3 linked regions of the Saccharomyces cerevisiae S288C genome follow. Changing the gene in region 1 together with any one later gene gives a genetic interaction. Each region holds a gene or a part of one and is shown in the gene's direction. Other genes may lie near its edges.

Region 1 (3,341 bases):
TAAAAGTGCCGGCCCATCAGGTAAGTCTTCGCACTTATTCTTCCAATGTTTCAATATAGTCTGTTCATTTTGAAAATTTGGATTGTTCATGGCTATACCCATTTTTTTTATTATTAATAAGCTCTCGCCTAGTAAACCTGAAATAAGAGGTTTGGCCAAAACGTGGTCATCCAAGGTTGATGGATTCTTCTCTTCTAATATTATTAATAATGGATCGAAACATATTTGAGGCAAAGCTAGTTCCCATTCTTTTGCCAAGAAAGCGGAGGGAGAATGATCGTAAAGAGTCACAACGTCCCTAGGAAACAGTTTTTGGAACAATTTCTGAAATGTATTCAAAATAGGAATAATATCACTTGAATAGCTGTTTTCGTGAACGGATGTCGTTTGACCGATCGAAACAGAAAAGGATTTGGCATTTGCAGTCGTGAACTGTTTGTATGAGCCATTGTCCAACCGTCTTATGTCATAATCGGTGAAAATGCTGAAAATATTTGACAGCGAAAGATCAACTGAAGCCTTGATGAATGGCTCCAAATATATAAACCCGCTACTTTCAAATAGTATCTTTGTTGTCTTATTCATCATAGGTTTTATATCTCTCAATACCTGCGGGATTTCTTGCAGTGAAGACGCACTCATTATTATCAAGTCGAATACCAAGCCACCATTTTCATTATTAAGGTCTACTAAATCTAGGAGCGATTGGAAATGGTTTTGAATCTGAAACCGTTCCGTCCCATAAAATAGTGAACTAACCTCGTAGTTGGCATTTTTTGAGTTGTTCACAAGATAAAATTCTATATTTTTGGCATGTTGAAACCTGGATGTGTACAGAATGAGATTTGGGTGATCTCCGCATACCAAAACCCTTAATGCAGATGTCATTATTCAATATACCTATCGCGAGATATGCCGGGAATAAAATGTAGGAAACAAAAAGAAAAATATATGCACAGTAGTTCAAACAGAATAGAAATGACGGAGAGCAAATATTTGGGTAGAATCACAGACTTTAGTGTTGGTTACAAGCTTTTCGAATGGATGTAGTTTGTAATCAAAGGACACTAATAATAGCGAAAAAAAAAAGGGCAAGTATGTTGGCAGTCGCCTCTTTTTCAATTTAGCGGTAAGTTTTTAATGAATGGCCTGGTGATAATAGATATGAACAACTTCGCTATCGTGTATGCCAATATCACTTTTCTTTTCTACTACTTACTCGACTTTACTCTACCTTTTCATGTTTGTAGATTTCTGTTTCATTCTAGTCTCGAGAATGGCCCACAGCACGGCCAACAGGGGGCTGCGACAATTTCGCGTAGAGCCCATTGTGAAAAAAGCCACCCAAGCTATTATTGTACACAGAAGAATATGGAAGCAAATCGCCAGTGCTACGTGAATGGGACAAAAACATGATGCCTTGTTTAGTATTAGCATTTTAGATACGCCTTTTCAACTTCAAATTGTGCTATAGATAGGAAGATCTCTTTATTACGCAATATATGTTGTGTGTATTTAGGATAAGACTATATCGTCCAACCATACACCGCGTTTCATCTTGTCTTTTTTGCAGCTAGTAAGAATTAAGCATCAAGAATTGTTCAGTTTGCGATGAGTAATGAAATATATTTAAAGAGGACTAATGTTGTTAAAGTAAGCAGTGCTTTTTTCACGCAGTGTATTTTTAGAATAAGTGGCCATGGGTTATATTTTGACAGGATATTCTAGCCGTCATGATAAGAGAAAGAAACATGCACTTCCTTTGCATCGGTATGCATCGTCTTCGATAAACTTGCAGCACCATGTGCATCTCTTAGAGACCCGGGTTTCATCCAAGAGGCCAATATCGGAAGATCAAAGGACTATCAGGCTTCCTGCGAAGAAACTTAGGCATCATCAAAAGCTAACTTTGCAAGATTTACCTGTAGAGATTATTCAACATATTTTCGTTTTCACAAAGGGTGAACCGTCGATGGTCACCTTGAACAGGTTCTTCTATAGTTGCTTGAAGCCATCTTTTTCATTATTATCGAAGATCATGTGGGAAAAATATCTTTTCGATCCCCTGGAGTTTGGCGTAAGTAATATAAAAGCTTATTCAAGAAATATTGTGATCCCTACATTATTTGAGCATGAAACTTTTTTTAGACTACTACTAGATCATCATCCTATCCTGTTGAAAAATATTTCTCATTTTCTTCCCAGAAAGCACTATCAAGATATGCAGAATGGCGATTTTGATACATCTAAAGAGCTAGACTTGTGTTCAATGAACACTGAAGATACATCGAAAGAAGACTTCCCTAAAAACTTTTACAACAATATGCATATTTTTTTAACACGTAGGGAATGTGTGAAGTCTCTAGGTAATCATTTTACTTTGAAGAATCCATATGATGTGATATCCCCTTTTATAGAATGGTTTTTTCAAGGTATTGATATGCAAGGAACTGACCTAAGCCCTAAGTTTACCTTTGTTTCTCTATTTGAATCAATAGATTTAATCCTATACGTCTCTGGATCTACAGTGCAAAAACTAGCGTCTATTGAACCCCTTACGACTGTAATATTTTTATTATATTTCACGTATGCTGATTCACTAGGGAGTCTGAACTTTGAGTTTTTTTTGCAGAATAGATCAAGATTACAGCTCATAGAGAAATTTATCCTGAAATATTATTACAATCCATCATTGACAGAAAACGAACTTTTATCTGATAGCACTATATGGGACCTGTTAAGGCGGGTGTCTGATTTAAAACTCATAGATTTGGTCGTTAAATGCGGCGGAAGGCCTCAATACGGGGTTATGTTTGCATAATTAAATTACTTAGTATTAAGATTCTGCCCCTTGCATGCATGCACAATATGTGCTTGCCAATTCATTTATGTACAAAAGATGGTGTTATATAAGGAATATATTTTGTTTTCTTTGATATTTTCCCTTTCTCATATTCTTGCGGTTTTTCTGCTTTCATTACGTCGCTAATTAGTTTGTCAAAAATTATAACACCGTTAGTTTCCAAGCAATAATTATATAAGGTCCCGTTAAAAAATATCGATAATCAAAAGGTTTTCAAGTAGCAAGCAATAAATAGCTTTCCGAAGACTAAACAGGCTTTCATAGTGTCTCAGTAAGCGTATGGATGGACAACGCAGTTGATGACAGAGAAACACAAAACTATGGGGAAATTTAAGGTTATTGTATTGGCAGGTACTGCAGGTACAGGAAAATCAACCATTGCAGGTGAACTAATCCATGAATTTAAAGATATATACCCGGATTTGAAATTCATCGAAGGTGATGATTTACACCCGCCTGCCAACGTAGAAAAGATGAC
Region 2 (3,667 bases), on another chromosome or scaffold:
CACGATCACTATATTTAGTTCGAAAGTTAGTGTTTGTTTTGCCAAGATATCCTCGCAGAAACAGTTTTACTTAAAGTTTCAGGTGTTGCGTGGAATGCCCCTGCTAAGCTGTCGTGTCGCGCTCTTCCCCGCGTTTGTTTCACATTATATATCATATGGCGTATGACGGTATGGGTGAAAATAAGCGTAGGCTGGTTGTGTGTATTTCTCTCGCACTTTGAAAGGGAAAAATAAAAATAGAGTCTATTAGGAAGCTCACATATGCCGGGAAAAATTACGTAAAGCATCAAAAGGGAAAGAAAATATAGGGAAAGATAAAACAAAAAGCAGAACGGTATCAGGCATTCTTGTTTTAGCCTTTATGTACGATATGGCGTTTATTATGGAGAATATTGAGGTATTCAACTATTTAATACTTGCTATAAATTCTGCCAAACTACTAATCATTCCGTTTATATAACTCAAGAAAAGAGAAATACAGAAACAAATAGATCAGATGCATTTCAAAGATTTAGGATTGCATGACTACACTCTCAAAAACTTGATGTATGAGAATAATTGCTGTAAATTTTATGATGCCGTGGATGAAAACAACATCTCATATGTTTTAAAATTTGTTCCCTCAGATGTGACTTCGGAAGGGGATACTTTCCCATTCGTGGATCGCTTTCAAGTAAAGGAAGGTGTTTTTTTGGTATATTCCTCAAATGACTTTGGAAAAGAAGGTACGGACTACTTTACTTATACTGGTAGTGGTGGAAATGAGGTTCACATCTCGGGCACCTCTTCAGAAGCAGGAATAAAACCGCAGTTTATTGAAACTTGCCATCCAAAACATCTTAAGCGGGGAACAAAAGAGCAGGAAGATATAAATAGTAGTACCTCAAAGAAAAGTGCAGTTATCAACAATTTTTCGGGTGAAAAAACACCAAATCCAAGGCCACAGAGTTCCAACATTTCAGAAAGAGAGACGTATGTCGGAATATTGAACGTCAAATGTAAAAATAAGAACTCATCGAAAATACGAAGTGAAAAATTGGTAAGCTCCGTCATCGAAACAAAGCATACGCCAGGATTGGCATCTATTTTATCGAAAGAAGGCACTACATATCCGAATAATGCGGACGGGAAACATATCAGTATCGTGAATCCATCCTCAAAAATATATCATTCATCCCATAAACAGATTGTTAAAACGCCTATCCCTAAGAGTGGCCTTTCTCCAATTGAGAGATGCCCTTTCAATGGTCAAAATATTAAATGCTACTCACCAAGACCACTAGATCATGAAAGTCCCCAACGTGATTTCAATAATAACTTTCAGCTGAGAATACTGAAGAGCTCGGTGTTGCAAAGGAGACAATCAACACAGAATAGTTGAAAAATTCGTTGGTACTAGCTTCGGGTCGGTTAGCTGCGCTGCTATGCATTTGTTAATATCTCCATCGAATTTTTGTTGTTTCGTTCAATAACTTTATTACTTCCCCCTTGGACTCTTTCGTTCTATCGTTCTACAAGTCCAGCCAAAATTTTTCCCCTCTTCCTTTTCTTTTGTTCACTTCTTAGCTCACTTATATAATTATATACTGATATTTGGATTCTTTTGTTGCAAATATGCTCTCCCAGATTTTTCTGTTGAGATGATTCATGCTTTACATGGATTGAGCATTAGAGAGTAACTATATCCAATTTCGTAAGACGAGTATCTACTTTCCCTTGTCCCCAGTAACCTCAGGAACGTGACAACTACTTTTCTTAAACTGTCAACAGCCAATGATACCGTATTCAATGCATGTCTTGGGATTAAGCCACTTTGATTGAGTTCCGTATTAGTAGTGAGAATTAAATCTTGCAAGATATAAGAATTACTCAACAGAGACGAGATACTTTCCTTTTTTTGGTTCTTTTGTTGTTACTTGGCTTAATGGACAAAGTCTGCTCGCATATTGTATATGTTACTCTTACGATGTGACTCCGCCCGTTTATTATGACTTTTCGGTACATTTTTAGGGCCTCGAACGAAAATCTACTAACTAAAAATTAAAAACAATTAAAATAATCAACAAACAAAATCTAGTGATATAATTTACTACCATTAACGGTAAAGCAGCTAATTGTTAATTTCTATGTTTAAATCATTGGCTGCTGTCTTGCCTAGAGCTAGCAAGGCAAAGTTCCTCCAGAAAAATTACGCCTCCACTTTAGCTTTCATTGAAAGCTCAAAAGATGGCTCTGTTTCAAGGTCATCATTGAGTTTATTGGCTGCTGCACAAAAGTTGTCTAACCCTATCACAGCTGTAATCACAGGTAGCAAAGCTGAAAAAACTGCTGAGGCGCTAAAATCTTCATATTCATGCAGCAATTTAGAAAAGCTTGTCATATTTGAAGATTCAAAATTAGATACCTGTCTTCCCGAACAACTAACTCCGTTATTAGTGAAACTATTAAAAGGCGGCGACTATTCACATTTTGTTGTCTCAAACTCCTCTGTTGGAAAAAGTGTTTTACCTCGGGTGGGTGCGCTCTTGGACGTCCAACCTGTTTGTGAGGTTACTGTAATCAAAGATCCTAAGACCTTTATAAGGCCAATTTATGCAGGTAACATTATTTCTACAATAGAATGCCAGGCAGAAAAAAAACTGTTGATTATTAGGGCATCAGCTTTTCCACCAATTGCAGAGGGTAGTATGGATTCTGTTACCATTGAGAAGAGAACTGATATTCCTCCTTGTGACTTAAATGTTACCTGGGTTAAAACTATTCTTACCAAGAGTGAAAGGCCTGAACTTACTTCTGCACAGAACGTGGTAACTGGTGGAAGGGCACTCAAGGATAAGGAGACATTTGAGAAGCTATTATCGCCGCTAGCAGATGTTTTGCACGCTGCTATAGGTGCCACAAGAGCTTCTGTTGATAATGGACTATGTGATAATTCTCTACAAATCGGTCAGACTGGTAAGGTAGTCGCACCAAATTTGTATATAGCCATTGGCGTTTCTGGTGCAGTTCAGCATTTAGCGGGAATGAAGGATTCGAAAGTTATCGTTGCCATTAACAATGATCCTGATGCCCCTATATTTAATGTCGCTGACTATGGGTTGCAAGGGGATCTTTACAAAATAGTCCCTGAACTAACTGAAAAACTTGGTAAATATAAATAAATAAATTCTTAACTTCTAAATATATTCATCTCTTCGCTTTGAAGGGGGCACGTTTTACTTTTCCTAGTTCTCTTGCCTTTTTAAAAATGACCTTTTCGGTGTAAAGCGGACTAAATATAAAAGACTACGAGAAATGGCAAAGGAATAATAGAGTTCTTCCAGATGGGAGAATATGAGGAGAACAATAACTCCACAAACTTCCTAGTGATTTCCAAGAACTTACGGAAACAATTATAGGATGACATCAAATAATTCGTTATTGGGGCGTGGAAGGATGTCATATTCCTCTACCGCTCCACCAAGATTCAAAAGATCAGTCGACCAGCGTGACACTTTCTCGGACAATTTTGATTATGATAAGGATTCATCCAATCGAGGCAGGACCTATATTGCAGCATCTAATTCAACTACTGGGGTACCCCCACCCAACAACTCAAGATCAGGATGCACCAATAATACAAATAATACAAATAATACAAGTAATACAAGTAATACGAACAATAATG
Region 3 (3,364 bases), 590 kb from region 1:
TCCTCCTTCACCAATTTAATTACAGTTGCAGAAAGAGAATTTAACGGCAGATCAAATTCCTTGCATGCCAATTTTACATCACCGGTGCCAAGAACAGTGCTAGATCATCACAGACATGAGCTAACATTTTGCAACCCTAACAACACAACGGGTTTCAAAACCATCACCCCCTCACCACCAACTCAACACCAGAGTATATTGCCAACCGCGGTAGATAACGTACCGAGATCAAAATCCGTGTCCAGCCTACCCGTTAGTGGATTCCCACCTTTGATCGTCAAACAACAACAGCAACAGCAACTCAACAGTAGTAGTAGTGCCTCTGCACTACCGTCTATTCATTCCCCATTGACTAATGAACATACAAGCAGGTATTCATCGTCTTTAAAGGATTCCGCCAAGATAACGAAGCAAAGAAAGAAAAAGGAATGCCCCATCTGCCACAACTTCTACGCCAACCTATCTACGCATAAATCCACTCATTTAACTCCGGAGGACAGACCGCATAAGTGCCCTATCTGTCAACGCGGCTTTGCCAGGAACAATGATCTGATAAGGCACAAGAAGCGCCATTGGAAAGATGAATTTATGCAAATATACGCAAGGGAGTCCGACAACAATAGTGGTGCTGACGATCAAGATGACACTGCCCGCACCTCCGCAAACAACGACAGCGACGACTCAAACGATAAACTCGCTGCCTCATCCTCTTCCGAAGAAACAAAACTACTGAAGAAAAACCAATTGAAATCACTATACAAGATTAAAGGTGCATTCAAGTGTCCTTACAACTCTACTCTGATCAATTTGGATATGGAGGTGTATCCACACAAGTCTAGATCACTCTATTTCGAGCCAATAAACTGTCATCAAACGGGCGTTTTTTCGCGCTGTGATACTTTCAAGAATCACCTAAAGGCTTTGCATTTCGAGTACCCGCCCAAGACCAAGAAAGAAGATAGAGGTGTTGTGCCGGGGAAGTGCAAGCATTGTGGACTGCAATTTCCGAACGTTGACGTCTGGCTAAATAAGCACGTGGGGAAAGGATGTGGCTACTCATATCACTAAAACCAAAGTCATTCACCGACTCATACATACACACACATACATACATTTATTTATTTATGCCCTAATAATACACATCATTTCTGCGTAAATTATTGTTACGCTGCCCTACGTTATTAATCTAGATTCTTGTTTTCTCTCTGTGTCTCGTTTCTCTTTTTAGGCATGAAGCGAAAAAATCAACAACCGCTATTGACAGGAAGCAAGCTGGCATGAGCCGTTTTTTTTACTTTTTTTGATTTTACCAGAAGGGCGTTGAGACCTGCATCAGCCGTTTGCGGATAGGTTATGCCAGTGATGAAGCACCTGATTCAACTGCCGGCTCTCCGATTGGTCTCCGATCGTTTAGTTCCTTATATTGTACACTATTTCAGCTGTACAAGCCTAGGCCCGAATCGAATTATAAGTCCGTCCGGCTCAAGTCATGGACTCATTATCGATTCGTCTTTTTTTAGCTGCCCCCACGTTATCTCTTCTTTTTTTTTTCTCTGCATCGCGGCGAGTCCCTTGAAAGGGTCGCGAACCTTCGAAGCAGCACTTCTTTTTTTCACATGAGAATGTAGTCCATTGCGTAAATCCAGTCTTTGCGGCTTTCCCTTCTTCCTCATCATATTGTTGACCAACTCCAACAGAAAAGCACATTTCCTCTTCACCAATTTTCTTCTTTCTTTTTTGAAAGTACGAACATGTAAGGGACATTGGACATTATGTGCTCGTTCATGTATAATATTACATGAGGTAGTTAGTTACGTAAATTTATAAAAACGTATCGATGAAAGTTGCACAGAAGTAAAAAGTAAAGTATACAAGTATTACGTCGACTTCTTAGGTAGGTAACAATAATAAAAAATCAATTACGTAAAACGTATGCTGATAGTATTATTCTTAACATTATTTTGTTCGGTAGTGTTCCGAACAGCTTATTGTGATGTGGCCATTGTGGCTCCAGAACCCAACTCAGTTTATGATTTATCTGGTACAAGTCAGGCTGTTGTCAAAGTAAAGTGGATGCATACAGATAACACACCACAGGAAAAGGATTTTGTCAGATACACGTTTACTCTGTGTTCGGGTACCAATGCCATGATAGAAGCAATGGCTACTCTTCAAACACTCAGTGCGAGTGATCTGACAGACAACGAGTTCAATGCGATAATAGAAAACACCGTTGGGACGGACGGTGTTTACTTCATACAAGTCTTTGCGCAAACAGCTATCGGTTACACCATTCATTACACTAACAGATTTAAACTAAAAGGGATGATTGGTACAAAAGCCGCTAATCCGAGTATGATAACCATTGCACCAGAGGCACAAACAAGAATTACCACAGGAGATGTGGGTGCCACGATTGATTCTAAGAGTTTCACCGTTCCCTACAACTTACAAACAGGTGTTGTGAAATATGCTCCCATGCAACTCCAACCGGCTACTAAGGTAACAGCAAAGACATGGAAAAGGAAGTACGCGACCAGTGAGGTAACGTATTACTACACTTTAAGAAACTCCGTTGATCAACATACTACCGTAACACCAGGGTGGTCATACATAATTACAGCTGATAGTAACTATGCTACGCCGGCCCCTATGCCGGCTGATAATGGCGGTTGGTATAATCCACGCAAGAGACTCTCTCTGACTGCAAGAAAAGTTAATGCTTTGAGGCACAGATAATGAAATAATACAAAAAAAAAATTTATGAAAATGGACAAATCGATTTATTATATTCGTTAACATTTTTTCTGCTTAATTATTGTTATTCTATTTTTTTTTTTTTTTAAATGGATGAGCTGTATTCCATTTTAACCAGTAACGGTAATTTTTAATACTAATAAAAAAAGGAGACAAATAATATAGTATTAGTTGTAATTCATATTGTGTTTCTGTTTAGTACATATGTTAGTACATATATTCTTAATATGCTATGATAATGAGATACGAGAACCAGAAGAAACACAAGAATCACTCCTTGTGCTCCTCATCGTCATCGGCAATGGCAGAAGAGTCCTCTTTTGACTCTTCCTTGCCGTTTTTCTTCTTATTTTTGGGGAATTTAGGCAAGTTTTTCTTCTTATGGCCGTTAAAGGATCTTGATCTACCGCTGAAGTTTTTGGACTTCGAGGCCTCTCTCTGTAAATCAAACTGTTTTTTCGTCAAAACACTCAGTTTCTTACCTTCATATGACAAAATTTCGTTGGACTCATCGTCATTGGAATACGATTTCAAAAAAGCTTCACATTCTGGAATTGTCTTAAATTCCACCAAGACCGTACCATTAAATTTCTTGTTTCTGTGATCT

Evidence for each region.
Region 2: mutations in YDR249C (region 1) and AIM45 together harm fitness more than expected from each alone (negative genetic interaction), as found in Saccharomyces cerevisiae (one large-scale study listed by BioGRID).
Region 3: mutations in YDR249C (region 1) and KNH1 impair growth when combined (synthetic growth defect), as found in Saccharomyces cerevisiae (one large-scale study listed by BioGRID).

Annotation. Positions count from the first base shown.
Region 1 is NC_001136.10:958,161-961,501, reverse strand, and holds YDR249C (uncharacterized protein), read left to right. Parts: upstream 1-1,699; coding exon 1,700-2,821; downstream 2,822-3,341. Other genes in the region: PAM1 (Pam1p), read right to left, coding at 1-888; YDR248C (gluconokinase), read left to right, coding at 3,163-3,341.
Region 2 is NC_001148.4:563,501-567,167, reverse strand, and holds AIM45 (Aim45p), read left to right. Parts: upstream 1-2,126; coding exon 2,127-3,161; downstream 3,162-3,667. Other genes in the region: HAL1 (Hal1p), read left to right, coding at 497-1,381; YPR003C (uncharacterized protein), read left to right, coding at 3,400-3,667. UniProt on the Saccharomyces cerevisiae protein: The electron transfer flavoprotein serves as a specific electron acceptor for several dehydrogenases, including five acyl-CoA dehydrogenases, glutaryl-CoA and sarcosine dehydrogenase.
Region 3 is NC_001136.10:364,443-367,806, reverse strand, and holds KNH1 (Knh1p), read left to right. Parts: upstream 1-1,932; coding exon 1,933-2,739; downstream 2,740-3,364. Other genes in the region: STP4 (Stp4p), read left to right, coding at 1-1,068; tRNA maturation protein LHP1, read right to left, coding at 3,028-3,364. UniProt on the Saccharomyces cerevisiae protein: Involved in cell wall beta(1->6) glucan synthesis.